Alligator mississippiensis: one gene and its partners. The protein of the gene in region 4 purifies or fractionates together with the protein of the main gene of each other region. This does not show direct contact. Links are inferred from orthologs where the notes say so. Each region holds a gene or a part of one and is shown on either strand. Other genes may lie near its edges. The genes, in order: SRPK1, SRSF1, U2SURP and U2AF2.

The links.
Region 1: the proteins of U2AF2 (region 4) and SRPK1 purify together in Homo sapiens (affinity purification with mass spectrometry; 3 studies listed by BioGRID and IntAct, counting the BioPlex papers as one, with this or other methods). This does not show direct contact. The link is inferred for Alligator mississippiensis from reciprocal best matches to the Homo sapiens genes U2AF2 and SRPK1.
Region 2: the proteins of U2AF2 (region 4) and SRSF1 purify together in Homo sapiens (affinity purification with mass spectrometry; 4 studies listed by BioGRID and IntAct, counting the BioPlex papers as one, with this or other methods). This does not show direct contact. The link is inferred for Alligator mississippiensis from reciprocal best matches to the Homo sapiens genes U2AF2 and SRSF1.
Region 3: the proteins of U2AF2 (region 4) and U2SURP purify together in Homo sapiens (affinity purification with mass spectrometry; 3 studies listed by BioGRID and IntAct, counting the BioPlex papers as one, with this or other methods). This does not show direct contact. The link is inferred for Alligator mississippiensis from reciprocal best matches to the Homo sapiens genes U2AF2 and U2SURP.

The regions. Positions count from the first base shown.
Region 1 is NC_081837.1:36,208,731-36,216,243, forward strand, and holds the start of SRPK1 (SRSF protein kinase 1), read left to right. Parts: upstream 1-4,397; 5' UTR 4,398-4,400; coding exon 4,401-4,506; intron 4,507-4,596; coding exon 4,597-4,657; intron 4,658-5,713; coding exon 5,714-5,806; intron 5,807-7,513. UniProt on the Homo sapiens protein: Serine/arginine-rich protein-specific kinase which specifically phosphorylates its substrates at serine residues located in regions rich in arginine/serine dipeptides, known as RS domains and is involved in the phosphorylation of SR splicing factors and the regulation of splicing.
Region 2 is NC_081837.1:6,054,267-6,061,407, forward strand, and holds the start of SRSF1 (serine/arginine-rich splicing factor 1), read left to right. Parts: upstream 1-4,066; 5' UTR 4,067-4,189; coding exon 4,190-4,383; intron 4,384-4,766; coding exon 4,767-4,951; intron 4,952-5,227; coding exon 5,228-5,400; intron 5,401-5,673; coding exon 5,674-5,868; 3' UTR 5,869-7,141. UniProt on the Homo sapiens protein: Plays a role in preventing exon skipping, ensuring the accuracy of splicing and regulating alternative splicing.
Region 3 is NC_081830.1:56,731,498-56,739,398, reverse strand, and holds the start of U2SURP (U2 snRNP-associated SURP motif-containing protein), read right to left. Parts: upstream 3,053-7,901; 5' UTR 3,001-3,052; coding exon 2,956-3,000; intron 1-2,955.
Region 4 is NC_081828.1:75,066,016-75,073,735, forward strand, and holds the start of U2AF2 (splicing factor U2AF 65 kDa subunit), read left to right. Parts: upstream 1-4,671; 5' UTR 4,672-4,939; coding exon 4,940-4,988; intron 4,989-6,675; coding exon 6,676-6,811; intron 6,812-7,720. Other genes in the region: CCDC106 (coiled-coil domain-containing protein 106), read left to right, coding at 603-851. UniProt on the Homo sapiens protein: Plays a role in pre-mRNA splicing and 3'-end processing. By recruiting PRPF19 and the PRP19C/Prp19 complex/NTC/Nineteen complex to the RNA polymerase II C-terminal domain (CTD), and thereby pre-mRNA, may couple transcription to splicing.

The DNA of each region.
Region 1 (7,513 bases), on a different chromosome or scaffold from region 4:
TCAGCTTCAAAATCATCCTCCAGTTGTTCTTGTAACAGAGCCAAAAACTCGGCCTCCCTTGGTTCCAGCACTTCTAGGTATATGCCGTCTGGGGAACAGTAGATGACACAGCCCAATTTACACAACAAATCCTTTTCCAAAAGATTTACAGGGGTAGAGGGGCTAAGCAAAAAGGCATGTGTCTCAGAAATGGGACCGATAGAGACAGAAAGGGGGTTGGAAACAGGGTGGGGTATAGGGTGTCCGCTAATGCCAACAGCATTAACAATTTTTTTCAGAAAGAAGTATGTTAGAGAAATCAGAGGCTTTTAAAGTGTAGAGGGAAGCTCCTGTGTCTACCAGGCAAGATATAATCCTGCCGTTTACAGAACAATTAAGAAAAGGACTAGATTGGTCAAGTGAAATAAGTGGGGCAATGATGTCATCCTTCAGGCTGTCCTATGCTTGGGTAGGGAAAGGAGGAGAATAACCTGAAGGGGGAGCTGACAGGCTTGGTTTGTTTTCTGATTCAGATGGGGCCGGATTTTCAGCTAAGGCTGGATTGATACAAAAGTCTAATACGTCTTCCAGAGGTTCAGTTAGTGGGGGTACCCCTTTCAGTATTGGGTATAATGGACTGCAGTTTGAATTTAGGGGAGCGGCCAATTTCTCCTGTGTTTCCTTCAATTGTTGTTTAAAATTTTTTCCTGTGAGTCTTTCAGGCTCTTGGTCTGAGACTCAGTGCGTCTTTTTGACATCTCTTCATACCAATCGAAAAATACGTTCCACTGGCATTGAGGAGTTTTGGATTCACGGGACTCTAACGTCCCTTTTAAGTGCACTATTTTTTCTAGATTGAATGTGCCTTCCTCAGGGAACTGCTTGGAAGGATCATCCCTGGTATACCAGTACTATTTATCCAGGTACTTGCAAGTCTCGGGAGAATAATGTGTGTACATATAGTACGCCGGAGTTCCCTTAGAGGGGACTGGCACTTGCTTTGACTGTCCTGTACCCATTTCACAATCACACAGGGAAAGACAAGACAAGGGAATGGCTTATTAAGGAAGTCCGTGCCGATCCGAACTTCAGCCTGCAATGCTGCCGAGGTGAGTTCTGGATTTGGCAACGGCTCATAAACAGACCGTTTATCTACACAGTAGAATAAGGGTGGGGGAACAACAAAAGGAGTCTGCTAAAGTCACAGAAACCTGCTTGTAGGCCCATCTGTTGACTGAGGCTACATACCTTTTCGTAGCCCCGTCTGATGACTGAGGCTACATACCTTCAGGCAGCTGATCTATAGCGGCTCATGAATGGAGGGGGGGAACACAAGACACAGAGCAAAACAAGAGGGTGAGGGACCAGTGAAAAGTTCACTGGGGAGGAAGAAAGGGTTGATTTTGTCTCTCAACCTTGGCTCCCAGTGACTATTCTTTCACCACGCACCCTTGCATTCGAGTTGCGCCGGTCATCGTCCAAACCGGGCTCACGTACGTCTCGGGGCGGCTGCACGTGGTTTCAGAATTTGCCCTGGACCAATTCCAAATCACCATTCAATCAGGGTCACAATCTTATTTCCATTACCCACTCAGACTTCCTAAAGCCCAGTGTTGTGCTGGATGCAAGTGCTTGTGCAACAGATTCTCCCTACCACTTATGCGCGCTTTCCAGAGACAGACAGAATTTTACCGGATTAGTGTGACCGGTCTTGGTTCTACACTGACCTGTAACAAAGGTTCAAATCCAGCTACCCAACATGAGCAGGGAGCCTATGAGCAGTCCTCCTCCGACACCCCAACAGAGATTTAAAAGGCCTCTTACCTTTATTGGTGGTGCTGGGGTTCGATGGGGAATGGCTCACGGTCCTCCGAACACATCGTTGGCTGTGGATCCGAGTCACGGCACCATTTAATTGTCGTGGAAAAAACACGCTGTAGAATTTGGAATCAGGTCAGGTGGAAACTTTATTTCGATAACTATCGGAAAGAGACCGTTAAAGGGAAGATTCCCCCTGGCTCTCTGCCTTACAGCAAGGGCAATTAACCTTTTATAGATTCAAGACAAAGGGTTTCCTAAACTAGCTTTTCCCACCTTAGGGCTATCTGTTTTGTGTCCTTCAAGACAGCTTTAGTGGTCATCTTCCTCTTATCTAAGGAATTTCTCTCTCTCCCCCCATGAGGCCTCAGCCATTCTTTGCTTCCACATGGGTATCCACACACCCTCCTCACCAGGCTAGCCCAGGTGGGGGGGGGGAGTGCCAGTTTAGTCGCTGACAACCATACCAGGGAACAGGCTGTACTGGTTTACATGGTACCAGATAGCCAACCAAGAGAGACCTGGCCTAACAGGGAACAAGCAACAGGTTACAAAAATCTTATAACCATATTCCACCCATACCACAGCATAGCCAAAGATGCTCATACAGGATCTCAGAGGAGTATATAACAACCATTACTAAATCCAGAAAATGTATTCAGCACTAAAAACTGAAATTCCTAAATAGCTCAGTGGCTGATTAATACCTAGAGCCAAAGTGGACCTTTGCCCATTACAACCATCAACATGGCTTGACCATTCAGCCCCCTGGGACTCTAATAGCTGTACCAGTAGGTGCCTTGATCTGTTCAAGGAACAAAGTGATAAATCACCTCAAACTATAATTTATTCACAAAACTGAGGAAATGATTTCTATTTCTTTAGGAGGTAAAACACTGGGTACTCTTGACTAGACCATAGGCTAAATCATAAATTATAACAATTGACATGAAATTCAATTGCATAATTTGCAATCCAGAAATTTTAAAATTCTATCACTCTATGCTGCAGTCAGTAGGTAAGTTTGTGATTCAAGTCAGCATTTACTAGTTTTAATCTAGCTGGCTTGGATAACAAATTTATCAGTGAAAGTGTGAGAAAACAGGCTTCAGGATGGGCCAACCTGGCCAGGAACCAGGGGTCACTACTTGGGAGACTAGCCTCTTCTGAGAGTTTTGCTACCATGTCTTCACTGCTATTGCTACTCAGACTAGCTACATTATCAATTGTGGTGCAGAGACACTTGCTCTATTGACCTGTGAGCATGCTTTTGCTTTAAATTAAGGTGATACTGTCAGAACAAAAATCATAATTCCCTTTGCGGTGATGACAATGTGGAGCTTGTATGCTCCCTGGTGCCAGGGAACAGGCGCAATCTGCAGCTTGCATGCTCTGGGCAGGGACATGCAGGCAGTGGCTGTGCCCCAGCTCCTTGCAGCAGGGACAGCGTGGTCCGGAGACAGTGGCACACTCCTGCCTGGCGCATGCAGATTGCCCCAGCTCCAAACCACTGTCACCACAAGGTCCCAACCCAGCTGTGGAGCAGCTCCACACCCTGCTGCGTGCCCTGCCAGCAGGGGCCACACTAGGGAGGGACTTGGGGGCTATAGCCACGCCAAACTTCCCCGTAGCCCCCTTTGGGTTGGGGGTTTGTTTGTTTCTGTGAGGCCTGGCAACACTGTTCTCAACCTGTTTGCCTTCATAGGCCACACTTGCAGCTCTCAACATGTTCTTAGATTCAGACGGGAGAGTTGTATGGGCTGCACCCACACAACTCGCTTCCTGTACCTCCAATTAAAAAATGCTTTAACAGGATGTTACATGGGCTGCAGCAGCACATGCGCAGAGAACCACTGCCCCAAGCTGGTGCCCTGCCCTGCCCTCTGCCCTCGCTGAGCACCTCTCTGGCTCCTGAGGCCAAGGCCCCTCTAGACTCATCCCAAAGGGACCCCCAGGAGCCAGGTGTGGGGAGCAGAGGCAGCCAGGCAGGATCCAGCTGAGGCTGGCTCAGTGTTGCCAACTCTGATGATTTTTGGCATTCTTAAAAGAGTGAAAAACGTAGCTCTTTCCTATATATGTGTGTATGTATTTATGTGTGCATATGTACATATGTGTGTATGTATATATATATAATATACATATGCATTTATAGATATGTGTGTATATATGTATGTGAATGTGTATATATATATATATATATATATAAAAAGAAAGCTAAATTTAAGCCTAGCTACAGACACCGCCCGTTCCCGCGCTGCAGCCCGCGCCCGCGTCCACCCCCGCGAACACGTGGGCCCCTCCCTCCCTGACGTCACAAGGGCGCCCGGCTCCCGCGCGCGTTGCGTGGCGCCTGCGCAGTCCCCGCCCCCAGCGCGGCTTCCCCGGCTCCGACCGCGCATGCGCCGCGCCCCATGGAGCCCAGGGAGGCGGGAGCCGTTCCGCGGTCGCCCCGCCCTCCCCCCGCGAGGGGGCGTGGCCGCACGCGCTCGGCCGAGCCCGAGGGCGGGGCGTCCCTCAGCAGCCCCAGGTCGAGCAGCGGCAGCGCCGAGCCCGAGCCCGCGTGGTGGCGCGCGCAGCGCCGCGCCAAGGTGCCCCGAGCGCGCATGCTCCGTCCGGCGCGGCCCGGCCCCGCGCAGGCGCAGGGGGAGGGCGCAGAGCGCCGGCGCGAGGGGCCGTGGCTACCGGCTCTAGCCGCCATGGAGCGGAAAGGTGAGCGCCGCCCCCCCCTCCCCACAGCCCCCGCGGCCCGGCTCCCCTCCCCCCGCCCTCACCCCCACTCCCGTCTGTCTCTCCCCGCAGTGCTGGCGCTGCAGGCCCGGAAGAAGCGGACCAAGGCCAAGAAGGACAAGGCCCAGAGGAAGTGAGTGTCCCCGGCCGCACGTGCCTCCGCGCCCCCCGGGGGGTGAGGGGGGCCCGCGGGTTGCCACCTCCTGCCAGCGCCGGGGTGGGGGGCTTTGCTTGGGGCCCGCTGTGCCTGCCATCCCCGCGCTGCGCCCGCCTGTCGTGGGCCCGCCTGGCCGCCGCGTCCCCGTGGGTGCGGTGTGGCCCAGCTCCCTGTCGCGGCCTCTCCCCCGGCTCGGGGTTTGCCAGCGGTAAGGTGAGAAGATGGATCCTAGCTTGCGCTCAGCCGCTCTTTCTGCACTAAATTTTTCTGCTCTGCTCCTCTCCGCCCCCGTTATCTCTTTTATTAAGTTCAAAGGGTGTCCGAAATAAAATCTAGCCAGCTTTACGGTGGATGGTCCCACCTATGGAGAGCAGCGCTTGTCCAACCCGTTAGTCTGCGGTTCAAAAAGAATAAAAAATGAATAACTGATTCGTCTGATTTGCTGCAGAATAACGTTCGCTCTCCGTTAATAGGTCAGAGCCGCTGGCGAGGGTCTGGTGGTTTTGGCTATAGACTTAATACATTTCGTAGACATGAGGGGCTGGAAGGGACCTCGAGAGAGTGTCGGGTCCAGCCCCCCTGCAGGGGCAGGAAGTCTGCAGGGATCAAATTTGCCAGTCTTGAGGGGAGTTCGCAAAGTGGACGGCACAAAACGGCTGGAGGGCCGTGGAGGTGTAATGCATCTGGAAGAATGTACTGCTTTCTAAAGCTCTTTGTGGACATACCGCAAAGGTTTTGTTATAAGGTAGTATTCCTCTGTCTTTATTTCTGAATGAAGAGTCAGATCGGGGCGCATAGCTGGGATTTCTGTGTATTTGCCTGGCTTTTCGGTCAACTGCATGGGGAATAATCTCAACTCCAGTATTTATGAATGTAGTCCAGGACTTCTGTTTGTAAAGACTACAGTCCATGCGAGTCATAAAGCTTTTATACAGTGACTTAAAGCTGGTGGCTCTGTAAAAATCCCTTCTAACGAACTAGCTAGAGGAGGGCATTGGCGGTCAACATTGTTTAGCTGTTTGCTATTTTCAGGTGTGTCACTGACTGCTGTATGACTTCTGGCAAGTCCCTTCATCTCCAGGCTACTGATGCTCAATCTGGTCCTGATGTTCACCTGCCTCACAGGCATGTTTAAAAACGTTTTAAAGTTACATATTTCTTTAACTCTGTTTCTAGCGTTTCTGAAAAATTGGTGAAAGATTTTGTGTTCATTCTCGTTCCACCTTTGGCTGCCAAGAGAGTGTGGTCAGTTTTGCTTTCTGCTGCTTAGACAGTAGCATTGTACAATGTGTTATTTAAATATAAACTTGTTCTAGTTATTCTTCTAAACTTAAGTTTATTGGAACTTTGAAATAATTTTTTGATACAACCAGAATTGTCTGAAGTGCCCTTTCAAACGTCTTGTTGTGATCCTTGATCCTTTGATAAAAGGCTGTATATAAGTGCAAAGTAATTAATTTTGAGTAATTGGGGAAATTTTGTCAGTATTGAAACAAGATTCGTTATGATAAATGTATAACTACAGAACATGTTTCAGATGGCTGTTCAGTACCCAACTCAGTGCAGTTAGTTTAAAAAAGAATGAGTTAATGTTTTATTTTCAGATCTACAGCAGCTTTTTAGTCCTGCACTTGATCTTGCGATGCAGTAGGTGTTTATTACTATTTAAAATTGTTTTTTCTTGTTGCCCTGTGAACGGCTTTCAAAAACAAGTTGAAACTCACTGTATAGGGAGACCCAATGAAACTGATGGTGGATAAAGAGGATGAAAAATAAGACAACTTTCATCTTTCAGTTATAGTAATCTTAAGTGCTGCTTATGGGAATAGGGTGTATTTTAAGAAAACTTTAAGCATTGTGACTCAAGTTGCCAAGCCAATAAGCCAACTTAGTTAAAACTAAATATTAATTGTAAAAGCAAGGGCATTGATATTGTCTTTACGGACAGATTTAAATAGCTTTCTTCTGTGTCCCGCCCCCCCCCCCCGCCCCCCCCCATGTCCGACAAATTCCTGTTTGTGACATAAGCAGTGGGGGGGGGCAGGGAGAGTGCTTATCTGAAGGTAATCTGCTGTTGAAAGAGGAATGGCAAGGACTCTGCTGTATGGAGGTGAAGCACCTGTACCTGCCTTCATTCCCTAATATCTGGAAAAGTGGTCTTTCTCTTTGTGGGTAGATGGAGAAGATTCATAGATTACATATAGAGTCGAAAGGGACCTTGGAGGATCATAGTGTCCAACCCCCTGCCCCAGGCAGGAAAAGGACCGAGGTCAGAAGACAACATGCTAGTCAGTTAAGTGCTGAGCTGTGGTCAGCTTGGAAAATTGCATTATTGGAGGCTACCAGAAGGCAGGGGCACTGTATTAAAAACTCTAAACACTTAAATGAGTACATTTTAAAGCAGATGAGCAAACCAAATGTTCTCTTGGTATTTCCTTAATTGTGAGAGCAAATAAAAAAAATACTGCTCTTTAAATGTTAAAAGAACAGTAAGCACCTGGCATGCAGACTGCTGCAGTGCATGTTGTTGCCAGAAGATAATGCAATACAGTATTTTTCTTTTTTTTTTTTTCTTTTTTACTCTAGGTGGATAGCATGGAGGATTCCTCCAACAAGTATATCCCAAATGATGATAAATGAGTTTAAAAATTTCAAGAGTGGTATTATTAATCTTAAGCGATTTGGCTTTGTGGAGAATCTTATTTTTAGAACGTGATCTTAACAAGAATCTTACAATTCAGAAATTCATAATGGCTCTGCAGATGTTTCTAATAAGGGCTCAGAATGTATTCTGTGTTTTCACATGGGAGTATAGGGAGGGGAGCTACAAAT
Region 2 (7,141 bases), on a different chromosome or scaffold from region 4:
TAAGGATTCTATGAATCATAGAATCATAGAAGTAGGGTCAGAAGGGACCTTGTAGATCTTCAAGTCTGACCCCCTGCCTGGGCAGGAGGAAAACTGGGCTCAAATGACCCCAGCCAGGTAGGCATCAAGCCTCTTCTTAAAGACCCCCAGGGTAGGAGCCAGGACCACCTCCCTTGGAAGTTGGTTCCAGATCCTAGCCGCCCTGTGAAGTAGTTCTTACGGATGTCTAATCTATACCTACTCTCCAACAACTTGTGGCCATTATTCCTTGTTCTCCTGGGGGGCACTAGGGGAAACAAGGTCTCCCCCAAACCCTTCTGGTCCCCCCTAGTGAGTTTATAGACGGTCACCAGGTCCCCCCCCAGCCTTCTCTTGTGAAGGCTGAACAGGTTCAGGTCCCGTAGCCTCTCATTGTAGGGTCTGCCCTGCTGTCCCCGGATCATGCGGGTGGCCCTCCTCTGGACCCTCTCAATGTTGTCCACATCCCTCTTGAAGTGGGGTGCCCAGAACTGGACACAGTACTCAAGCTGTGGCCTGACCAGTGTCGCGTAGAGGGGGAGGATCACTTCCTGGGCCCTACCTGAGATGCACGATAAGGTCCGGTTAGCCCTGCCAACCGTGACCTTGCATTGTCGGCCCATGTTCATCTTGGAGTCAATAATGACTCCAAGATCCCTTTCTGCCTCCGTGCTCTCAAGAAGGGAGTTTCCCATCTCATAAGTGTGCTGCTGGTTACTACTGCCCAAGTGCAGCACCCTGCACTTGTCCGTATTGAAACGCATCCTGTTTTTGTTAGCTCAACCCTGCAACCTATCCAGGTCTTGCTGCAGTCTTTCCCTCCCTACTAGCGTGCCCACCTCACCCCAAATTTTCGTATCATCAACAAATTTAAACAGGTTGCTTTTCACCCCGTCATCCAAATCACTGATAAAGACATTGAACAGTGCAGGCCCAAGGACCGAGCCCTGGGGGACCACACTGCCTACTTCCCCCCAGGTTGAATATGACCCATCCACCACCACCCTCTGAGTATGACCCTTCAGCCAATTTGCAATCCATCTGACTGTGTAGGCATCAATGCCACAGTTGCCTAGTTTTTTAATGAGGATGGGGTGGTCGACAGTGTCAAAGGCCTTGCTGAAGTCCAGAAAGACTACATCCACGGTGACACCTGCATCCAGTGCTTTTGTGACCTGATCGTAAAAGGCAATCAGGTTGGTCTGACATGACCTGCCCCTAATGAAACCGTGCTGGTTGCCCTTGAGCATCATCCCCAATGCCGGCCCATCACAGATGTGCTCCTTGATGATCTTCTCAAAGAGTTTCCCCAGGATTGAGGTAAGACTGATGGGCCTATAGTTGCCTGGGTCCTCCCTCCTCCCTTTTTTAAAGATGGGGACCACATTGGCTATCTTCCAATCATCTGGCACCTGGTCTGAGCACCACGAGTACTCGTAAAGCCGTGCCAAGGGCCCTGCAATAACCCTTGCTAGCTCCCTCAACACCCTGGGGTGGACAGCATCTGGACCTGCTGATTTGAACACGTGACTATACTGATTAAAAATCAAAAAGGTATCCTAAGTCAAATACTTAGATGGATAGGAAAGCTGTGTGCAAACCAAACCCAAGTCCCTCTGGCACACAAGTCATGTCTACACTAACTTTGCCCACTCTAGGCACCCCAGACCCCAAAGTGCAGCCATGTAGCTGCCTTGAAGCCAAGCTAAGAGCATGCCCAGCACCTCCTCAGGCTCCCTGTCTCAGGGATGCTTACTCAGGCACTGTTGTAGGATGGGATTTGGTGCGTGCCTAATGGAAAGGGCATGCTTCGTAGCTGATTACCCAGGCCCAACACAGAGGATGGGTAGATATGCCCTCAGGAACTCAAGTTCTACTGACTTCAGGAACTAAGACCCACATGTTGGTCAGTCGGGTGCCTAATTACCCTTGATGACCTGTGCCTAACTGCTAAACTTACTTCTGAAAATTAGTCTTGGGTTCTTAATGCATGATCCAGGCTCTTTTCTAAATTCCCCTTTTACGTTCAGAAGCATTTGTATTCAGGTCCACCGTTAAAAACCAGGGAGGGAATGACACACCAGAAAAATATACTAAAATGTATGCAAAAACCATCATCCAAATATCCACAAGCTGTACGATATATATTTTTTGCTTCTTCCCATTTCCTTCCCAATCTTTTCTCCCTTCCCCACAATTCCTTATGGAGCTTTCACATTATGCACCAACCTGACATGGTAAAAGATGCGTATAACAGCACACATGGCACATAATGAATGCAGAATGGAAGATGTCCCTTAAGAGAAACAGACCTTGTCAATATATTGGCGACTGCAATTAAATAGGCATTTAAAAAAAATAAATTGCTGGGACCAAATCAGGTGCCTTGAAAAGCTCTTGCAGAAATAAGGGACGTAAAAATAAAGGTCCCTCGGCTCTCCTAAACAATCAAGCAAACCTGTGTCTAGTTAGGAACGGATGAGCGCATCACATAAATTGTATAGTTTGCTTTTCATTGACTTAGGTGTCAGTTCCCTGTCAGGCTGATAGTTTAAGATGGAGTGACTGTATTGGCATGTAGATAAAGACAGGCAGCTTGGAAAGATACTTCCCTTAGATATACCATTTCCCCCATTTTGATCTAACCAAAATGTAGTGAACGCTTACGCTGGGAAAGAAGCTGAACAGACACTGCTCAAACCAGGAATAGGAGTACAGCTACTCCTTGCTTAACGTCGTAGTTACGTTCTTGACAAATGCGACTTTACATGAAACCATGTTAAGTGAATCCAGTTACGTCACAGTAGCTACCTACTAGCAGGTGGCAGCTGAATAACATTATAACCGAACATTGCACCACTTCAAACGAGTACGTTCTCTAACAGAGCAGCGATGTAATAACGAAACTACATTAACTGGGAAGACGTTAATTGAGGAGCACCTGTATAAGCAGCGCTATGAAATGTACACTTTGGTTTCTGCAGTAACCAGTCACCTAGAGACAGATCATTCTGCTCATTACCCCTCTTATTTCAGAGGGAAATTTACCTTCCTCTGCAAAAGAAACTCAGCGGTGAAGGGGGTGGCAAGCGGCAACCACCAGCAGCATCAGCAGCGCTTTTTGCAGGGGGTGCACCGCCGATCTCCGGGGGTGCGCGTGCCCCCGCGTGCCCCCCATGTGTCGCCAGTGAGCAGGGCACGAAAGGCACGGTGCGGCGGTCGAGATGGGTTTAGGAGAGCAAGGAAACCAGCACCCCAAGGCAACGAGCAGGGTGCACAAGGCACGGACGCGGTGCTGGAAATCGGCAGGGATCCCCTTCCCCTGCACAAATTTAATCTGGGAGGTTTCCAGAGCACCAACATGCTTGCATATATCTATTATTTGACTCCCATTATTTGACCCCCTGCCTTAGGAACTGGGAATAAGCAACCAACTTCAGCCTCATGGCAATGCAACAGGATTGCTGGCTTGGGCAGACTTCTCTCATGCCCAGAGCCGCTGCTGGATGTGGGGTCAGGAGGGAAATGCACCCCTTGCTCAGACTGAGGGGGGAACGTGGAGGCTGTTGCTTATCCCTGCCCCTCCCCCAGGCTCCCTTAGGGCACATAAAGCAGCCAGGCCCCCGCGCGGTGCATTGTGGGCCACGCCCCTCCTTGGCGCCAAGCTCCCCCGCCCTTTGCCCGCGCGTTGCATTATGGGCCCCCCTCCCCTCGGAGCTGAGCCGGATCTTCTTCACCGGGCCTCCTCACCGGATGTGACGGCTTCCGCCTCGCGAAGGGGCAAAGGAGTGCTTTTCACGCCCCAAAGGCCGGCTCTAGGCCGCACAATCCGCGGCGCGCGGCGCTCCGCCGAGCTCCACGGTAGCATTTGTCTAGGCGAAGCAATTGAAGGCAGGGACTACTTTCCCTGCAGGCGGCGCATGCGCGGTGCGAGCGGAGCGACACCGCGACGCAGTCCGAACGGGGTGAAGGAGTGCTTCGACCGGCGGCGGGATCCTTGCGCGCAGCAACACCGCGAGGGAGCGGCGGGCGCCATTTTGCAGCCGTGTTTGCAGCCGTCGCGCGCTCGCTCCTCTCGTCCGCTCCGTGCCCGGCGCTCGCCCGCTCGCTACCTTTTCTCTCTCTCTCTGCGCTCCGGCCCGCGCCCGCCGCAGCCATTGCTGACCTTGCCATGTCCGGAGGCGGCGTGATCCGCGGCCCCGCCGGTAACAACGACTGCCGCATTTACGTGGGCAACCTGCCGCCCGACATCCGCACCAAGGACATCGAGGACGTCTTTTACAAGTATGGCGCCATCCGCGACATCGACCTCAAGAACCGCCGCGGCGGCCCGCCCTTCGCCTTCGTCGAGTTCGAGGACCCGCGGTGAGGGCCGGGACCGCCCCCCCCCGCTATACCGCCCCCCCCTGCACGTGGCCTGGGACCCCCCCTACATGGTGCCTGGGACCCCCTCACAACCCCCCCCCCACGTGGTGCTTCGGACCCCCTTACTAAATTGTGCCCCTCCCCCCTGCATGGGGGCTGTTTCTGCCTGGACCCCCCCCAACCATGAGGTTGTTCCTGTTTTATTGCCCCCCCCCCAGGCATGGGGGGAGTTCTCACTTTGTTGCCCCCCCCCCAAGCATGGGGATGTTGCCATTTGCCCCCCCCCCCAATTGGGGCGTGGCCGGCGGGAAAGCAGTGTGGGGGGGGAACAAAGGGCGGGGGCGCGGCTGGGCAGGCCCCGCTCACCCCGCCCCGCTTCGCAGGGACGCGGAGGACGCGGTGTACGGACGGGACGGGTACGATTACGACGGGTATCGCCTGCGCGTGGAGTTCCCGCGGAGCGGCCGAGGCACCGGCAGAGGCGGTGGTGGCGGCGGAGGAGGCGGAGCCCCGCGGGGCAGGTACGGGCCCCCGTCCCGGCGCTCCGAGTACAGAGTCATCGTCTCGGGTAAGATCCCGCCCGTTCCCCGGCGGCCGTACGAGGGCGGGGCGAGGGGCGGCTTTCCCCCCGGGGACGCTGTTGAGCCACGCGGGATTGCGTTCCCCCGAGGAGCTTCGTTACGCAGCCCTCGCTTATTATTTATAGCACTCGAAAGCCTCCCCCGGGGGGTAATTTATTCAAATCACCTAGGCACCTGCTGTGCCCGGCCGCACGTAACGGCGCGGCTGGGTCATAAACAACCCCGTGGACGTCCCGGGTAATTTGCGACCTGTTTTTGTTCAGGACTGCCTCCAAGTGGGAGTTGGCAGGATTTGAAGGATCACATGCGTGAAGCAGGTGATGTATGTTATGCTGATGTTTTCCGAGATGGCACTGGTGTCGTGGAGTTTGTGCGGAAAGAAGATATGACCTACGCGGTGCGAAAACTGGATAACACTAAGTTTAGATCTCATGAGGTAGGTTCCCTGCTTATTTTGGGGCCAGAATTGGATACACAGGGCTTAACAATGGGAGCTGAAGGTAAGGAAGTGAAGGCTCAACTGTGTCAGCTGGCGCCCATAGAAAAAATGGAGTCTGATGTGGTTTATTGTAAGGCAGTCCTCGTTAGCACAAGAGAAACAGAGCAGCTTTTATTTAAAAGACTGTGTCTTACTTAATGTACTCAGCATGCCTGAAAAGACAGCTGAAAAGCTTAGACCCTTCAATCGAAAGTTGTGTCTATTTAATAGGGAGAAACTGCCTACATCCGTGTTAAAGTTGATGGCCCAAGAAGCCCAAGCTATGGAAGATCTCGGTCACGCAGCCGTAGTCGTAGCAGGAGCCGTAGTCGAAGCAACAGCAGAAGCCGCAGTTATTCCCCAAGAAGAAGCAGAGGATCTCCACGCTACTCTCCCCGTCACAGCAGATCTCGTTCTCGTACATAAATGACCATTAGCTATGATCTTTTTGTAGAACCCATGTTGTACACAATTTTCTTTACTCAGTACAGTCTTTTCATTTTTTTTTTTTAATTCAGACTGTTTTATTCAAATTGGCTAAAGTGTTGAATTGCATTCTTGTGTAAAATCCCTAGTGAGTATTTGCTCCTTAACATCAACATTCCCCCCTCATGTCTTTGGTAAATTGTATTTTAATTGATGTCATAGTCAGGATTGTTTAAATTTAGTTCTAGTAAATACCCACACTCTTCAGACTGTGGTATTGCTGTGTAAATGTCTCAGTGTTCAGCTATGGTTTATACGAGCTGGGGATGTTGGGATGTTTGTGGCTAACTTGTCTCTTCTGGGGGATCTTATATTTTACCTTGCCTTTTCATGTGTCTTTCTGTAGACATATCTGAAGAGATGGATTAAGAATGCTTTGGATTAAAGGATTGTGGAGCACATGTCAATCATTTTAGGATTGTCAAAAGGAGGATTGAGGAGGATCAGATCAATAATGGAGGCAATGGTATGACTCCAAGTGCTATTGTCACAGATGAAATTGGCAGTATTGACCTTATACTGAATGACAATGGTTAATTGAGTACTTACATCTACTTGTAACTTTTTCAGGCATGTTTTAGTTATTGTAGACTACAATTGCTCTGTTCCTTAAAACCCTGTTAGCAATTGTGGCAAAAACTACTTGCTTTTGTAACTTTATTCCATTTTACTTTTTTTAAAAGAACTTCCGGGGGTGGGCGTAGCGGTTCACTTTGTCATGCAGCATTTGGTTACAAGTGTTAACGTTGCGTAGTGTTTGTACACTTTGTAGATTCAGGGTATCTTCAAATCAGAGTATAATATCAATACTGCTAAAATCTGCATGTCCTCTGTGTGACTGATATAGCGTTGCTACTTCATTTTTTTTTTTAAGTATCAGAATGAAAGCAAAAATGAAACTAGTTGGGAAGAATTCCTTAAATCTCAACCCTTCCCCTTCAGACTAATGCACAATTGACTCACTGATATGTTTTGAAAGCAGTTAATTTTGTTACCCTCCAGATGGGAGTACTAGCTTTAGTTTAGACATACAGTAGGTGGATAGCTTTAGCAGTCAACTTTTCCAATTTCATAAACATTTTTTTTTACAACCACAAAACCTGTAATTCACCATGCAAGCAATGACTTATGTTGGCGCTACCAGTTAACATATGTAAATATTACAGTATTTCCTCCAAATAATTAACATTTCTAAAATTTTATCTGAACATCA
Region 3 (7,901 bases), on a different chromosome or scaffold from region 4:
TGGGCAATCCAGCCAGGGCAGGGCAAGCACAGGATGGAGCCACAGCTCATCCGGACGGCGCAGAGAGGAGTGGCTCCCACCGCTGTGCACACCCTGGGAGTGGACAGGAGGGGCATGTGCCCTCAGATCTGCACAGGCGGGGTGGGCTGCAGCTTCAGGCTGGGGCCAGGGCTGCATTTGGGGCAGGAAGCAGCAGCAGCGCTGGGAAGAGCATTATGCGGGGGCTGTATCCCTCCCAAAATTCACCACAGCACCCTCCCAGTGCCACCACCACCCACCCCAAGCACAACCCTGGTCCAACCCCCACCCCTCCTCAAAGGGAAGAACCCAGTGCAGTCCTGGCCCCAGCCTGCAGCTGCAGCCCAACCCACCCACACCCCATGCAGATCTGGGGGCACGCACTCCCCCCCACCCTCCTGGGGTGCACGCAATGACAGGAGCCACCCCCCCCCACTCAAGCCCCGGACGAGCCGCAGCTCCGTCCCACACCCACACTGCAGCACTTGCCCCAGCCCCACTCCCTCCCTCACTGCAGGGGCCACTGATCTGCACCCCTATGCCCCTTCCCTCCCCTCCCCTTGCACCACAACAGACTTAACAGCTGCACACAGCTCTCCATGCTGCCAGGCTGCGCTGTGGCTACATGCATGTATGGGCATTTATCAGCCAAATTATTGGCCTCATCAGGCCAATTTCCGATACACTCAATTTTCTTTATATCAGTGCTGATCCAATACGGGATCGATGTATTGGTGCACCTCTATAAATAATACATCCGTGGGTGGATCTCAGATTTTGAAGGGGGGGGGGGGGGGCAGGGAGAGTGCAAGTGATATGGTACATCATCCCATAAAACAGCATATATTTTTTTCCAATTTCCAAGTAAAAACAAATGCAACTGAATCACTGAGGGGCTGACTACCAGATCCAAATTGGGCAGGCATCTGGTGCTGGGTAGTAGGTATACCTGTTACACTCTGATCAAATGGAACTCCTCCCTGTACTCCTACACAAGTCCCCCAGACACTCCACCATGGCCCCAAAGTGTCCCACACTGCCCTTTATATGCTCCACCTGCCACCTCAAATTCCCCCTGCCTCTACTCTGTCCCCCATTATCCCACATATTTCCATATTCAGCCCCATCCTATCAAACCCCAAAACCATCAGATCCCACAATCCCCCCTCATGCCCCACAGAGGCCTATGCTACTCAATCCCCTCACTGCTCCTATGAATACAGTATACCCTACACCAGGGAGTGGGCAATTATTTCAGGCGGACGGCCGCTTACTGAGTATTGGCAAACCACCAAGGGCTGTATGACAGGCAGCCAGGGGCAGATAAATATTAATTTTCTAATTTTTTCAGGGGCCCCCTCGGTCCAGATAGAATGGCCAGGTGGGCCACATTTTCCCACCCCTGCCGTACACTGTGGATACTAAATGGGTCAAGGGACTAAAGATTGGCAGAAATCAAGTAGATAATAATAAGCTATGAAATCTATAGACTCTCTCACTCTACCTGAATAGAAATTCAGCTGTCCCTACCAGGCAGTTTGTTTTAAACTTTCAGTGGATCAGGAATCAAATGGGGATGTGACTGTACTCCTTCCCCCACCCAATCCACTCATGAATATATCCTTATTTACTTCCTTCATGCCACTCATTTTATTTTATGAACCTTTATCATATCCACTCAGTCATCTTTTGTCTACGCTGAAAAGTGCAAGCACATTTAATCTTTGCTTATTAAAAAAAACAAAACTTCTCTATGCTCTTGATCATCCTTATCTAATCTCATACATACAGCACAATTGAGGCTTGCCTTCAGCCAGGTATAAAAAGGAAACCAAATTAGGAATATTCATCTCAAGTAACTACTGGTTTAAAGCTCTCAGTCACAAAATTATCCCTAGGCAGGTATAAATATTTCCAAAATGGGAAATGGGGCTCCATATATGAATCAAGTTAAGAACCTGCATAAGTGTTTGCAGTGCTGAAGACATAATATTTACAATAAGATAGTGGTTCTTTCTACCACAAAAATATCAACTCCAAGCATTCCTAGAGCTGTAGCTGAAAAGGCTGCAGCATCAACCCTGCAGATGTAACAGAGCACCACAGGGGAACAGGATCTGTGCAGACACTGCTGTACAACTCGGGCTAACTGAAGGAGCCAGGGAAAAAAACGACCCCTGGAACCATAAGACTGGAAGATCTGGAAGATGGGGAGAGGTACTGCCCAGCCACCTCCATACAGAACTAGGTCTAATCCTTGCGGCTCCACAACAGTCTCTCTCTCTCATGGAAATAAAGAACATTTAAGTTAGGCTTCCCTGGGAAAAGAACCATCACAGAGAGCAGAGTGACAATGCAGCACAAAACCGAGGAGCAGTTTCCAGCCCAGTGCTGGCCAGAGCTGCAGACACATAATTGACGAGTTTGGGGGGGAAGAGATCTTTAAATGAAGCCCTACAAGGCTCTGCAGAGACCGAGCACTCAGCCAAGCCAAGGCATGGCGAGATCTGCGGCTAGAAGAGGAGGCTCCTCGTCTCCAAGAGCCCTTCCACAGGGCCCGGCCAACCCCGGGCAGCCCGTGCGCGCCGCGCGCTCCCAGCACGACGCGTGAGTGGCGGGGGGAGAAGCGACAAGCTCCCCCCCCTCCTCAGCCGGGGCCTGCCGAGGTTCAAACGCCCCACACGGGCATCGAAGGCCCCAGCCGCTGCAGCGGGAAGAGCCGCGGGCACCGGCCTCCAGTAGGCCCCGGCGCGCCCGGCAGCAGCAGGGCCGGGGAAGGGGGCCAGAGCAGGCCGCGCAGCCTGCGCACCCGCCTCCCCGCGCCATGCTTGCTCCGGCCGGCACTTGCCACTACCACGGCCCGGCCCGGCCCGGCCCACCCCCTGCCGCGGGCCCCGAGCGACGGTGCCGCGTGCGCGCCCCTGAGGGCGGCCTCACCTTCCCGCTGCCTTTCTGCGAACCGCCTGGCGCCCTGTCCGCCATCTTGGCTCTCTCCCTCGGCCAGCCCTGGCGGCCGGAATCGAGCGCCGACTTCACCGATTGAAGAGGAGAGCGAGGAAGCCTCCCGCCTGGGGGGAGGGGCGGCGAGCCGATGACCGAGCTAGCGATCGGGGAGGCGGGGCCGGCGCTGCGGCCCTGTCACGCCCGGCGGCCGCAGGCTCTGCGGTTCTGTAGGGCGCTGCTCCTTTCGCAGCCCCGCGGTAACGCATAGGCAAACTAGGCACATGCCTAGGGCCCTAAGAAGCGGCCCAGTTGTGATCATTTTACATATTATAATTATTGAGTGGGAAAAAAACATTTATACAGTATAAATATAATATAAATAAATAATATACATATACCGTATTAAGTAGGGTCCATGAGTTTGTTTGCCCAGGGACTGCAAAAGGGTTCATCTGGCACTGTGCATGAGGGAGTCCCCGTGTTTCCCCACCTCCCCCCCCAGCTGGCAGGGTCCAGGGCTCAAGAGATGTGGCCCAGCAGCGGGTACAGGAGACTTGCCCCCCAGGGCTGGGGTTAAGCACCTGCTTTCCCTGCACCATACATCTAGTTTACCACAGCAGGTGCGACTGTCACATCCAAGGAAAACACTTAAAAGGCAGCAGTGCTGCAGAAGCGGCCTGCCCAGCTCCCCTCCCAGCCCGGGGCCACGGGAGGAATGTGACGTGGGCACCTGGGGGGCCTTTGAGCTGCTCTGTGGGCATCTCTGCTCCCAAACCATGAGGGATCCCAAGCCAGGGATCCTGGGCAACATGCCCAGGTCTGCAATTTAAGGATTTTTTTTTTTTAAGCAGTCTGTCAGATCTCAACCATGGGGTTTTTTTGTAATGCTTCATCAACAGAGCTAGGCAGGTCAGGCTGTCGTAGCTGCCTTGTTCCCATTCTTAGCTCCAGCTTTGTTTTATAGTCCTGGCCTGTCTCATTTCAAAGCTTTTTAATTTCTTTATAAAACCTCCAGGCTGAATCTTAATTTAAGAGTGTTCTGCTCTGGAACAGTTCTTTTGCTATAGAATTACATGAGGGTTAAATCCAGAGAGGCCACAGCTCTGCTACCAGATCAGTATTCTGATGTTCCTCTATGGCAAAAACATGCCTCCTAGAAGGGAAAGTCAGCTGTGGTGCTGATTTGGCACCAGAGGCAAAAGGAATCCTATACTGATGGATTATTGATGGCAATTTTTTTCTTTGTCACCCAAACAAAGAATTATGAGACAGTATAGACAGTATAAGACTCTATAGACAGTAATATGAGACTGCTTCCCCACTGAGATCTCCACCTTGTGACACTTATGCCATATACTACATCAAGTAAGGACCAAATCTAAGCACCTTGCAAATAAAATAACTTTGTATAAATCACTGCAAGGAACTGAAACATCATTGTAGACCACAGAGTAATAATACAGTCCCAGCAGAACTATGATCTACAGTGGCAGCTCTCAGGATGCTCCCTGGACACATTAGATACTGACCAGTGGATCTGAATAGTTGCTGAATCTATTGGTTGGCCTTTCAGCACAGGCTACATCATACATTAGAATCACTGTGGGTCCCCAGATATGAGGCTTTATATATTTATATACTTATATATTGGAGGAGTAATGCTATAATTTTGGTACTAGCATACAAGACTAGAGGATCAGGCCCCAGGAGTATAGGCTTCTGGTGCTGGTAGTGGTGTTACAAACTAAAGAAAGGCAGTAAGTTATACTGTAGGACTTTTACCAACTGATAGATTCCTTCCTGATTTAGTTTCCAGTGCTGGGAGCTGGTTTCCATGTGGGTCCCCAAACTAGCTTGACATAATTGCTTTGAGACGGGGTACTGTTTCCTGAAACTGGCACTTAGCAGCTCTTTCTGCCTATAATACGTATAGCACTGTGAGGTGAGATCCCCAGTGAGTCAGAATGCTGTCAGAATGGATGTAGGACACTGAGCTGAGGCTGGAACATGACATGAGAATTCTGGAAGTACTTTTTTGAAAGCCAGATGCAACAAGAGATTTAGGAGAGAAATCTATAGGAAAGTGTGGAAAGAAAATCAGGTAGGTGGTGCCATGAGTGGGTAAAAAAGACCATATGGGTTCAAAAAGTAGGAGGAAAAATGGAAGCAAATTGAGATGATTGTAAAGGATAGAATAAACAGAAAGGAGAGGACTGAGCAAAAGGGAAATGAGAGAGTCCCAGAATAAACAAAGAAGGTGAGGGAGAGACATTGCATGAATGCCTTTATTACCTCTAGTTTAAATAACTGCTCTGGGGATCTTTCTGGGGTTGACTAAAAAGGCTGCTAAAAATCTTCACCTTATGAAGAACATAGCCCAACATCTGAAGGAGGTGTGCTAGTGACAACATATCAGATTACTACTCCACATTGCACTGGAGGCTAATTACCCTTTGGGTATAGAAAGCCCCCACAGGTGCCCACGTCGCATTCCTCCCATGGCCCCAGGCTGCGAGGGGAGCTGGGCAGACCACTTCTGCAGCACTGCTACCTTTTAAGTGTTTTCCTTGGATGGGGCAGGGAAAGCAGGCATAACCCAGCAAGGGCGAGTCTCCTGTACCCCCTGCTTGGCCACATACCCTTTGGGTATAAGCTATAAGCCTGGAAGATCTGGAAGATGGGGAGAGGTACTGCCCAGCCACCTCCATACAGAATTAGGTCTAATCCTTGCGGCTCCACAACAGTCTCTCTCTCTCTCATGGAAATAAAGAACATTTAAGTTAGGCTTCCCTGGGAAAAGAACCATCACAGACAGCAGAGTGACAATGCAGCACAAAACCGAGGAGCAGTTTCCAGCCCAGTGCTGGTGAGAGCTGCAGCCACATAATCGACAAGTTTGGGGGGGAAAAAAAGAGATCTTTAAATGAGGCCCTACAAGGCTCTGCAGAAACCGAGCACTCAGCCAAGCCAAGACATGGCGAGATCTGCGGCTAGAAGAGGAAGCTCCTCATCTCCAGGAGCCCTTCCACGGGGCCTGGCTGACCCCAGGCAGCCCGTACACATCCCGCACCCCCAACATGATGTGTGTGTGGCAGGGGGAGAAGCAACAAGCTCCCCCCCTCCTCAGCCGGGGCCTGCCGAGGTTCAAACGCCCCATACAGGCATCGAAGGCCCCAGCCGCTGCAGCAGGAGGAGCCACGGGTTTAGACGGTTACTAACTGCTCTTCATGATATAAACCCCAGCTCAGTAAAAAACTGAATCACATTTTTAAGTCCTATTTAAGTCAATAGAGATGGTTACACTTACATCATCATCATCATTAGGTGTTTTCTTGATATACTGTGTTCTAATATGTAAGGATAAAATTAAATGTGAGCCAAAAGTAGTGCCCCTTCCTGAAGGCAGAGGTGGGAAGCCTGTAATGTATTGCCAGGACCGTTATGCCAAAGGATTTATTGTTAATTATGGTATGGCCTGTGATGGGTGTTAACATTGTATTATGGATGAGGGCAGTCAGACAAAGTTCAAGGATGACAAGATTTTGAGAAGACTGACGTCAACAGTATAGAGGGTAGGCAACCTTTGGAAGCTACTGCCATAGGTTCTCTACCACTACATTTTGGAGACTGTTACTTGCATCATCCCCATGTGACCTTGTAACCAGAAAAAAGCTGCTATGTTTCTGACCTGAAAGAACCTTTCAGATTGACTTTCAAATGTATTCTCTGCTCCATTCTCCTCCTTTCTCAGTCCCTCTCCAACCCCAAATTAATACACATGCATTACTTTTGCCCTTTCCCTCCATTTATATGGATTAAATGAAGATTTTCCTCTACCTCCAGTAAAAGTCAACTGTTAACAAATGGCATTTCCATAGATAATTATTATTAAAATATCAAATTGTGTAAAATTATTAACAGGTATATTTTCTATGATTGGAAAATAAGACGACAGCAAAATTGCAGATAGTAAATTAAAAGCCTTGTAACAGGGAGCCCCCTTTGTACACTACCCTTCTGGGCATTGATATAACAGAAGCCCCTTCTTGCCTGCACCCTCTTTCCCTTTTTGTGCATTTCTTTTTCCTTCTAAGTATTGGCAGAGACCTAGCACATTCATTGCATGGGTGTGGCAAGGCTCCGAGCAAGCCAGAAAGCTGAAGTGGCTTTCTGTAGGAGAAACCTACAGACTACATCTATGTATCAGTTGAGCTGTGTCACTAAAGAAAACAAAAGAACTAAAATATCCACTTCAAAGCAAAGCCTGTAAGAGACAAGAAAAGCCAAGGTGCACTGAAAGCATGACTGTAAATATATCCTGGTAAACACATTTTTCCTTTGATTAAGACCTATTTCCCAAAGCAAACTTCCCATATCTGTCTAAAGTTTTATGCTAAATCAGTCTGCATGAGTGCATCTAACCCCAGTGGCCGTTGATCCTCGCTACCTCATCTTGCATTTTTCTATATTTCTCACAGTACATTTTTATATTTCATGTCTCATCTTTGCCCTGGCATTTTGTATTTTATATTTTCTACCTTTTAACTTTTAACAAATGTATTCTTTAGAGTAAGTCATACCTTGTATTACTAAAATTATTATTATAAGAATGCACTGGAATTGTAATAACTGGAATTGTATTGCTGTATTGGGCTGGTCCCCTGAGTGAATGCGGGTATGGATGAATCAGTAGGTAATTGAACGTCAAAGCAAGAGCCCCTGTCTGTTTCATAGATTTCATAGACATTAGGGCTGGAAGGGACCTCGGAAGATCATCGAGTCCAGTCCCCTGCCCAAAGGGCAAGAAGTCAGCTGGGGTCATAGGATCCCAGCAAGATAAGCATCCAGTTTCATCTTGAAGGTGTTCAATGAAGGCACTTGAACCACCTCCGGTGGCAGGCTGTTCCAGACCTTGGGGGCTCGGACAGTAAAGAAATTCT
Region 4 (7,720 bases):
CCCACTCCACTCCATGGTTACTGCCCTCTTGCCACCATCCTAATCATTGACTGGTCCAAGCCATGATGGGGCTGGCCCCCTGGCACCCCAAGCCTCTCCAGTGCCATGTGCCCCATTGCTGCCCCTGGCACTCTAGCATGATGGTCCCTGACACCTCCTACTGCCATGCAGTAGGACCTTTCTACCCCACTGCTTTCTCTACCAGCTGCAACCACTCCCTCTGAACTCCCACTGCCCTGCCCCCACCTGGCTGCCATTTGCCACCCACTTCAGGTGCTGAAAGGAAATGCCACTATAACCCTCCCCGCCCTGCCCCTCCCATCATCCTCATGGCATGTCTTTACCTTTACTTCTTCCCTGAATTTCTGTCCCAGGACGCACAGTGTAGGGACTCCAGTTCACGTCCTGCCCCTGTCCCTTCTCTGCTGGGTGGAGCACATTGAGGGAGCCAGGACTTCTGGGTTCTATTCTGGCTCATGAAAAGGAGTGGGGTCCAGTGGGTAAGAGCAGGTTGGTGAATGGAAGGACTCTTGGTTCTCCTTACCCACCCACCCCTCCTTGCTATGGCCTTGGGCCACTGTTGCTTCTCTTTGACCACACAGGACTCTCTACTGCCCCCAGCGATGAAGGAGCCTTCGGCAGAGCATGTGACTGGCAAAAGCATGGGGACCCCTGTAGCTTTTATGCATGATCCCACCACCCTCAACCTTAGTGGTTCACCTGCTGCTCCAGGTAGGAGCGTCCAGTTTAGGCAGGGTCAGCTTGTGTGCTCACTTTTTGAGCTGGGGTGTGTCCAGGCAGAAGTGTTGGGGAGGGGACTGTGGTTGGGGAGGAGATGGTTGAGGCTATAGGGAATCTGTTCTTTAGGTGACGGCTTCCATGAGGGCACTACCTGGCTCAGAGGGTGGGGAATGGGGTTAGGAGCCTTCTCTTCCAGGGAGAGTTGGCCCTTATCCAGCCTGGGGGAGATGGATGGACAAAGGCTGCTTAAGGGATGGGGGTAGGGCAGGGCCTGTCCCCTCTAGCCACATTGCTCCAGCTGGTCAGTTTCCTTTGGAGATGTCAGGCCAGGAGCCTTCTGACCCTGACCACAGTAGCCACAGCCCTTTTCCCAGTGAGGCCTCTTGAGTTTCCTGCCCTTCTACTGCCTGTTTTTCCAGCAGCACCAACAGCCTTGGTTGTCTGCTAGGTGGAGAGCACCAACCCCTGCAGGGAGCAGTGGTTCTTGTGTTTGCTGACCTGTCCGCACCCCCCAACCCAGGATCTCTCCCTACACCCTGCCTGGCCCCACTCCAGGGGCATTGTATTTAACTCCCTCTTCTCCTTGACTGGGCATGACCCCCCCCCCTTCCCCCAACAGCAGCGTAGAGCTGCCAAGTGTGTGCGTGTGCACATGTGTGCGTGTGCAAGGAGGTGTGTGAAGCCGCTTGGCAGACCACCCCTTTTTACTTGGTGTAACAGACTCTTTTCCACTGTGCCTGTTATTTCATGCCCTCTCTCTATGTTTAAAAAAAAGAAAGGAAAAAAACACTACAAAAATAATCAATTTATTAATAGAATTTAAATTAAAAAAATTTGGAATAAGCAAGGCTGAAGTCCCAATTCATTCCCAAAACAAAAGCCACAGCTGCGTCTGGGATGGGGTGTGTGAGCCAATTTGTATGGGAGCCCTTTGCTTGACCCTGAGATGGACCTGCTTCTGGGGTGAGGTGTGTTAGGGAATGGCTATACAAAGACCTCTCAACCAGCACTGAGATGCACCCTTTTCTGGTAGCTCCCACTGTCATCCCTTCCTACCCTCTCTTTGGATTGCCTATGTATTTCTACTTCCTCCCTTAATTTTTTTTCTGTCTTGAGAAAGTCAATGGCTGCAAGTCTTCCCTGTCCCATCTTAACTGTTAGACTTGACACACTGGGGGAGCCAGGGCTCCTGTGTTGTGTCTCAGTTTTGGGAGGGGAGTGGGATCAGTGTGGCTGGGAGTCGAGGCTCAGTAAGCTAAGCAGTAATGCGCACACAGCTGTCATTGCAGAGCCAGGCATGGCTCTCACCCTCATTCTCTGCAGATTATCCACCCAACAGTCCACATGAAAGCCCACCTTGCAGCCCCATCCCACTCTTGCTTAAGGCTTTGTGCATCATGCTTTATCAGCACGCAGGTGTAGTCAGAGGTGGACCCCTCGTGCTGTGTGTAGCACACCTTTGTTTTGGGTGGGCATGTATGTGCATGCACAGAGCCATTCCCTCATGCTACAACCATCGCGTGCTTACATGGGCGCAGTCCTCCCTGCCCCTGTAATGTACATATCCCAACATGAACACACGCTCCCTTACACTACAGCTACCCATGTGCTGCTGTTTCTGACAGAGGATGCACTACTGGCATTAGAAGGACATTCGAATCAAGACATGCTTAATCCTGAATTACACCCAGCCTCTCTACCTTGTGTTGCAAGTGGGTTCCATGTGTATATACAGCATATCCAGGAGCCATCAGCCACTGTATGGGGATCTGCATGTTTCTTGGATGATGGGTATGCACTTGGTGCTGGACAAACTCATATAAAAACATGACTGATGTCCCCTTCAGTAAAAGAAAAGTGGGGATTTGCTACCCCATGAAAAACGAAAGCTTAAGTGGGATAATGCAATACCTTTCATTGCAGGCAAAGCCACTGTGTATTACCTCCCACTTGCCATGGGCTAAGAGTGGAGGCAGGGGGCAGTGCTTCCTGGCCAAGCCCCAACCCACAACCACCTTCTATGCCTAAGGCCCCATGCTCCCTCTCCAGTGCCAGCAGGAAGAATTATTGCCTGTCAAGGGCAAGTATTATCCTAGCAGAGCAGACCATTCAGCAGCCAGCAGAAAAAGCTGTGGGAGTTGGAGCTAGACAAATCCTGAGGAAAGAGAGGCAATGATGTTGATGAGTCACCAGGGAAACCCACTGAGGGAAAGAAGCAGTGAATCACCCTGGGAACCAATCATGGGGAAGAGGTGGATTCTTCAAACCTTGCTGACTTTGCACCCATCTAGGAAAGGCTCAGCCAGGCACAAGACACTGGGCTCAGAGCATGGGATGTTGAATACTCAGGCCAGGGCCTCCATGAACCTGAAGCCTTTACCCCTCTCACCTCAGCAAAACCTCTCTCATCCCTAAGACAGTTGACTACACCCCACAGCATCCTCCTCACCTGCTTCAGTTGCTATGGATGTGTGGATCTTGCTAACCTGCAAGGGTTCAGAGGGCCCTTAGGTCACATGGTTACCCCATCAATGTCTGGCATTGCTGTTTGGGAAACAGGACAGACTTGCCCCCTACCCCATTGCTGACATGTTCTTCCCCTGCCCCACCATCGCATGTCTGGCCTTGGGGATGGCTGTTGCTCATGCAACTACAGCCCTCCAGGGATGGGGGAAAAAAGGAGATAGCAACTTGGTTTTAGGCCTGGCAGGTTTTAGGCCCAGATCTTCCTATCACTGACAACTGCATCCTGCAAACCTGGGCATAAACCCATCAGACCCTACCCAAAAGCTAGCTTTGTTTCCCTCCTGTTGTGAAGCTGCATCCGTTTGTTAGCAATCTTCTCCTGACGTTGCCTTCAGTTATCCATGGCCATCCCTCTTTTCTGTGCCAGTAGACTCCTGTATGTTAATCAGCTGTCCTCTGAGTATTTTGGCCCCATGTTGTATTTGCAGAACACCATTCAATACCTGCAATGCAATCCATGAGGGCTCTTGCACAGGACACAGACAAATGGAAGGGGGGGCATGAGGCAGGATAAGTGTGTCACCCTGGGGATCAGGAAACCTTCTTGAGGTGACTGATAAAGGGCCCTTGAGACAAAATTGTGTGTCATTATTGGAAGGGAGCTGCTGTTTCCAGGTCTTGTGGTTTGGGGAGAACAGCTACGGAGCTGGGTCCTCTGGCACATCCAGGCAGATATGCACCAAGAAAAGCACATTAAAAAATCTGATTTTTAAAATGGATTGGGTGATATGAAGAAAGTAGGGTGGCTTGTTGATTCTGGAGGTGCTGTGGCCAACCCCCCTGCCACGCTTCCTTGTTCTGCTGGCTGAGATTTGGGCTTGGTGATTTTTAGCACATTTTTCAGCAGAGAAGAGCAGTACTGTGGGGAAGGCCCCGCACTTCACTGGTGCTGCCACCTCCCCGCAGCGGGGAGCCTGCCCTGTGGCAGTAACAAGCCCTGCTGCTTTCCGCGCAGGACAGATCACAGCTGAGCCACGCGTCCCGCGGCCAAGAGCGGGTTCCCCCCCGTGCCAGGCAGGGACTGATTTACATGAGCGGCCGTGGCGGTCCGGGAGCCGGCGGGGCGGATAGGCCCCGGCACACGACAGCCTACAGGGCGGGTGCTGTTTCCCTGCCGCGCTGGGCCAGGCCTGGGCGGGCGCCCTTCGGAGGGCTATGGGTGCAGGGTGCCGGCGCGGACTAGCGGCTGGCGAACACGAGGACCGGGGCTGGAGCGGCTCCAGGCCCCAGCAACGGCCTATAGCGTAGTACGTCACCGCGGGGCGGTAGGCTGTCCCGCCCCCCGACCCGGAAGTGGTTTCTCTTGAGCCAGCCACCGCCCCTGCTCCGCGTTGCTTTCATTCTCCTCGCGCGAGGCGCGAGCGGGGGCGGAAGGGGCCGAGCGCTGCCGGGGAGGTTCCGGAAAGTGCCGAGGCTGCGCCGGGCCGGCTGGGAGCCGAGCGGGTTTCCGGGAGGAGCCGAAGCGGGGCCGGAAATCGCCGAGCGTTGCCCGAGGGCGCCCGAGCGGAGCCGGGGGCAGCCGAGCGCGCGGCGGAGGTTGCCGAGCCAGAGGGGAAGGCGCCGCCGCGGCCTGCAGGACGAGCTGGGCCAAGCGAGCGGAGCGGGCCGAGTCGGAGCACACCGCGCCGGGGCCGAGCGTAGCGGAGCACACTTGGGGCCGGGCCGGGCCGCCATGTCCGACTTCGACGAGTTCGAGCGGCAGCTCAACGAGAACAAGCAAGGTGCGGCCGCCGCGCAGGGCCGGGCCGGAACCCTGCTCCCCCTGGCCGCGGGCTGCCCCACTCCCTCGCGCTCCCAGCCCGAGGCCTCGTTACGCAGGATCCCCCTCCCCCGCTGCGCGGGGCCGCCCCCCGAGGCCGGGCCGGAGCGGGGCGCACGTGGCCGGGCCGCGGCAGCCGCTGGGGCGCGGGGCGGCTTTGTTTCCCACCCGTGCTGCGCGGTCCCGGGCACCGGGCCTGGCCGCGTGGAGCCCGCGCTCCGGCCCCGTTGCGCCTGCGGGCCCTGGGGCGGCCCCACGCGGCAGCGGCCGGACGGCGGGCTCGGCGCCTCGCGGCCCCGCGCTGTCAGCGCCGGGGAGCGGCGTGCGGCCCGACCCCTGCCGTGCCGCCACGCGGGGTGCGAAGCTGCCTGGCTCGCTAGGCCGCGGCCCTCAAGTTTTCCCCTGGGGAGGACAAGGCAGTAAAGATAAATGCTCACCCCTTGCCAGGTGAGGCTGGGAAGGCAGCAGGTGACCCGGGCTCCCTCCCAGCTCTGCGGGGGAGCGGAGTCATGTCCGTCTCCTCCCCTCCCCTCCCCAGTACTAGATCCCTGGGTGGGCTCTTAAAATCCTAGATAAAAGTGACTGGAAGGGATCTGCTGAGGCTGCCTTGTACCCCCCACCCCCCATGTGGCCTAGCCATTGCAGGGTGGGCGGCAGGGGCAACCTTTGTACCCAGGCACTACCTGTGGCGCATCCTGACCCGCTGAGCTATGTGCAGATCTGTGCTGAGGCAGGGCTGCTTGTAGGGGCTTCCTTCTACCACCGAGGACTGTATTGATCCAGAGCTGGGCTACTTTCTGTGCTAGAGGAGGTAGTGTTGTGTTGGAAGCCCCAGGCAGCCAGCTGCTTGTATCCAAGCCACGGGTCCTGCTGGGATGGGTTGTGTTGGGCATCTTTCCCCAGATCTCTCAGACCAGTTCTCAAGAAGCAGTGGCAGGACAGCCCTTGTGTAGCAGCACAGGCTGGGGGGCACAGCTGCCACACTGGGTCTCCCTCTGTCTGCCTGGGTAGAAGTGCAAGCATGAGAGGGAGCCAGGACTCCTGGGTCCTGTCCCTGGTTCTGAGTTGTGAAGTTTAGACTTCCCATGCCCCAGGACAGTGTTCATGCACACATCATGCTGCCTCCCGAGCATATGCAGTGTTGCTCTTGGTGGTGCAGATGGCTGTTGCCTGGCTGCCTCAGCACAGGAAGGACTTTACATGGTTACACCAGAGGAGTAGAGTAGGGGTGTGAGCAGCAACAGAGGATAGCAGCTGAGGGAGGGGCTGCCAGGGTGGGAGGCGAGATGAAGGTTTTGCCTTCAGGTGAAGGGAGGAGAAGGCTTTCCCAGTTGTGCCCTGGCACAGTTGGAGGGGTCTTGATTTCACCCCATCCCTCCTAGCCTGCTGTCCTAAACTAAGATTAGCAGCTGTAACACATGGAGGACCAGTTCCTAGCCTGCACTGCTCCTTCATGTGGAGTTCTACATACTGGGAGCTGGAGACCTTACCAGTGGTGTGGACCATAGTACACTAGGAGACATGGCCCCTCACAGGTTGTGCTATATATGTAGGTTGGCTTGAGGGCAGTGATTGTGTGTTGCTGTGTGGTCCCTAACTCCACTCCCTGTTCCGAAACCCCTGTGCTAACCCTACCTCTTTCCCCACAGAACGTGACAAAGAGAACCGCCACCGTAAGCGCAGTCATAGCCGCTCCCGGAGCCGTGACCGCAAGCGCCGCAGCCGCAGCAGAGACAGGCGCAACAGAGACCAACGCAGCGTCTCACGGGACCGTCGGCGACGCAGGTACATGTGGGTGGGGGCTGTATGGTCCCTTCCTGGGAGACCCCTCCCTGCCCTGGACAGGTCTCCCTCCTACACTAGCCTGCAGACCTCACCTATGGCTCATTTGGGCATAACTCGCTCCACCCTGAGGGGTTGCTGCATGCTGGGGCTGCCTTGGAAGAGCTGTGTCTCTGAGCAAGGCCTTATGGTTAAAGCAGAGGCTAGGGGCTAGGATTCCTGGGTCCTATCCCTTGCTATGTGAAAGGAGTATGACAAAAGATGTGGAAGTGTGTGTGTGGGTGGGGTAGGAGGGTGGGGGACCCATAGGGGCTAGTCTTGCTTGTGCTGCTTATAAAGCAAGTCCTTCCACCTCTGTGCTTCAATTTCCTTCCCTGTAAAACGGGGTTCTTTTGCCCTCTGGAGAGTCAGGTGATTGTGCCTTTGCTGCTGGTTTGCCCTAGGACCTGCTGTCAGTGGGCAGGGAGAGGATAAGCCACTTTACCTCTCTGCAAAGGTAGGAGGATGTGATTTAGCCAGTCTCTCCCTAGCCCCCAGGAATATAGGTGTTGGGCTCCTCACTGCAGCACCACTGAAACAGTCTGGGAGATGTTGGCACTGTCTCTGTGTGTTACTGGGCATGGGGCAGTACCTCCGTGCCATCCTTTTTAGTGTTGGTGGGGGATTCTGAGAACCAGCTCTTCCTTAATTCATCTGGAGGAATGAATTAGTGGGGGAAAGGGAAATGGAAATGGATCTTGGACCCCAGTTCAAAGGGACAGCTCAGATTGTTATCATAGAGCAGAGTGCATCTTCCAAAGTTGTGCCAAGCTGAGTCAAAACCTGGATCAGCCAGACTGGTCTGGTTAAAAGTCGCTTTGCTTGGTGATGAATTGAGTATTGCTGTTTTGGTGCCTACCTTGTCCCATTGGC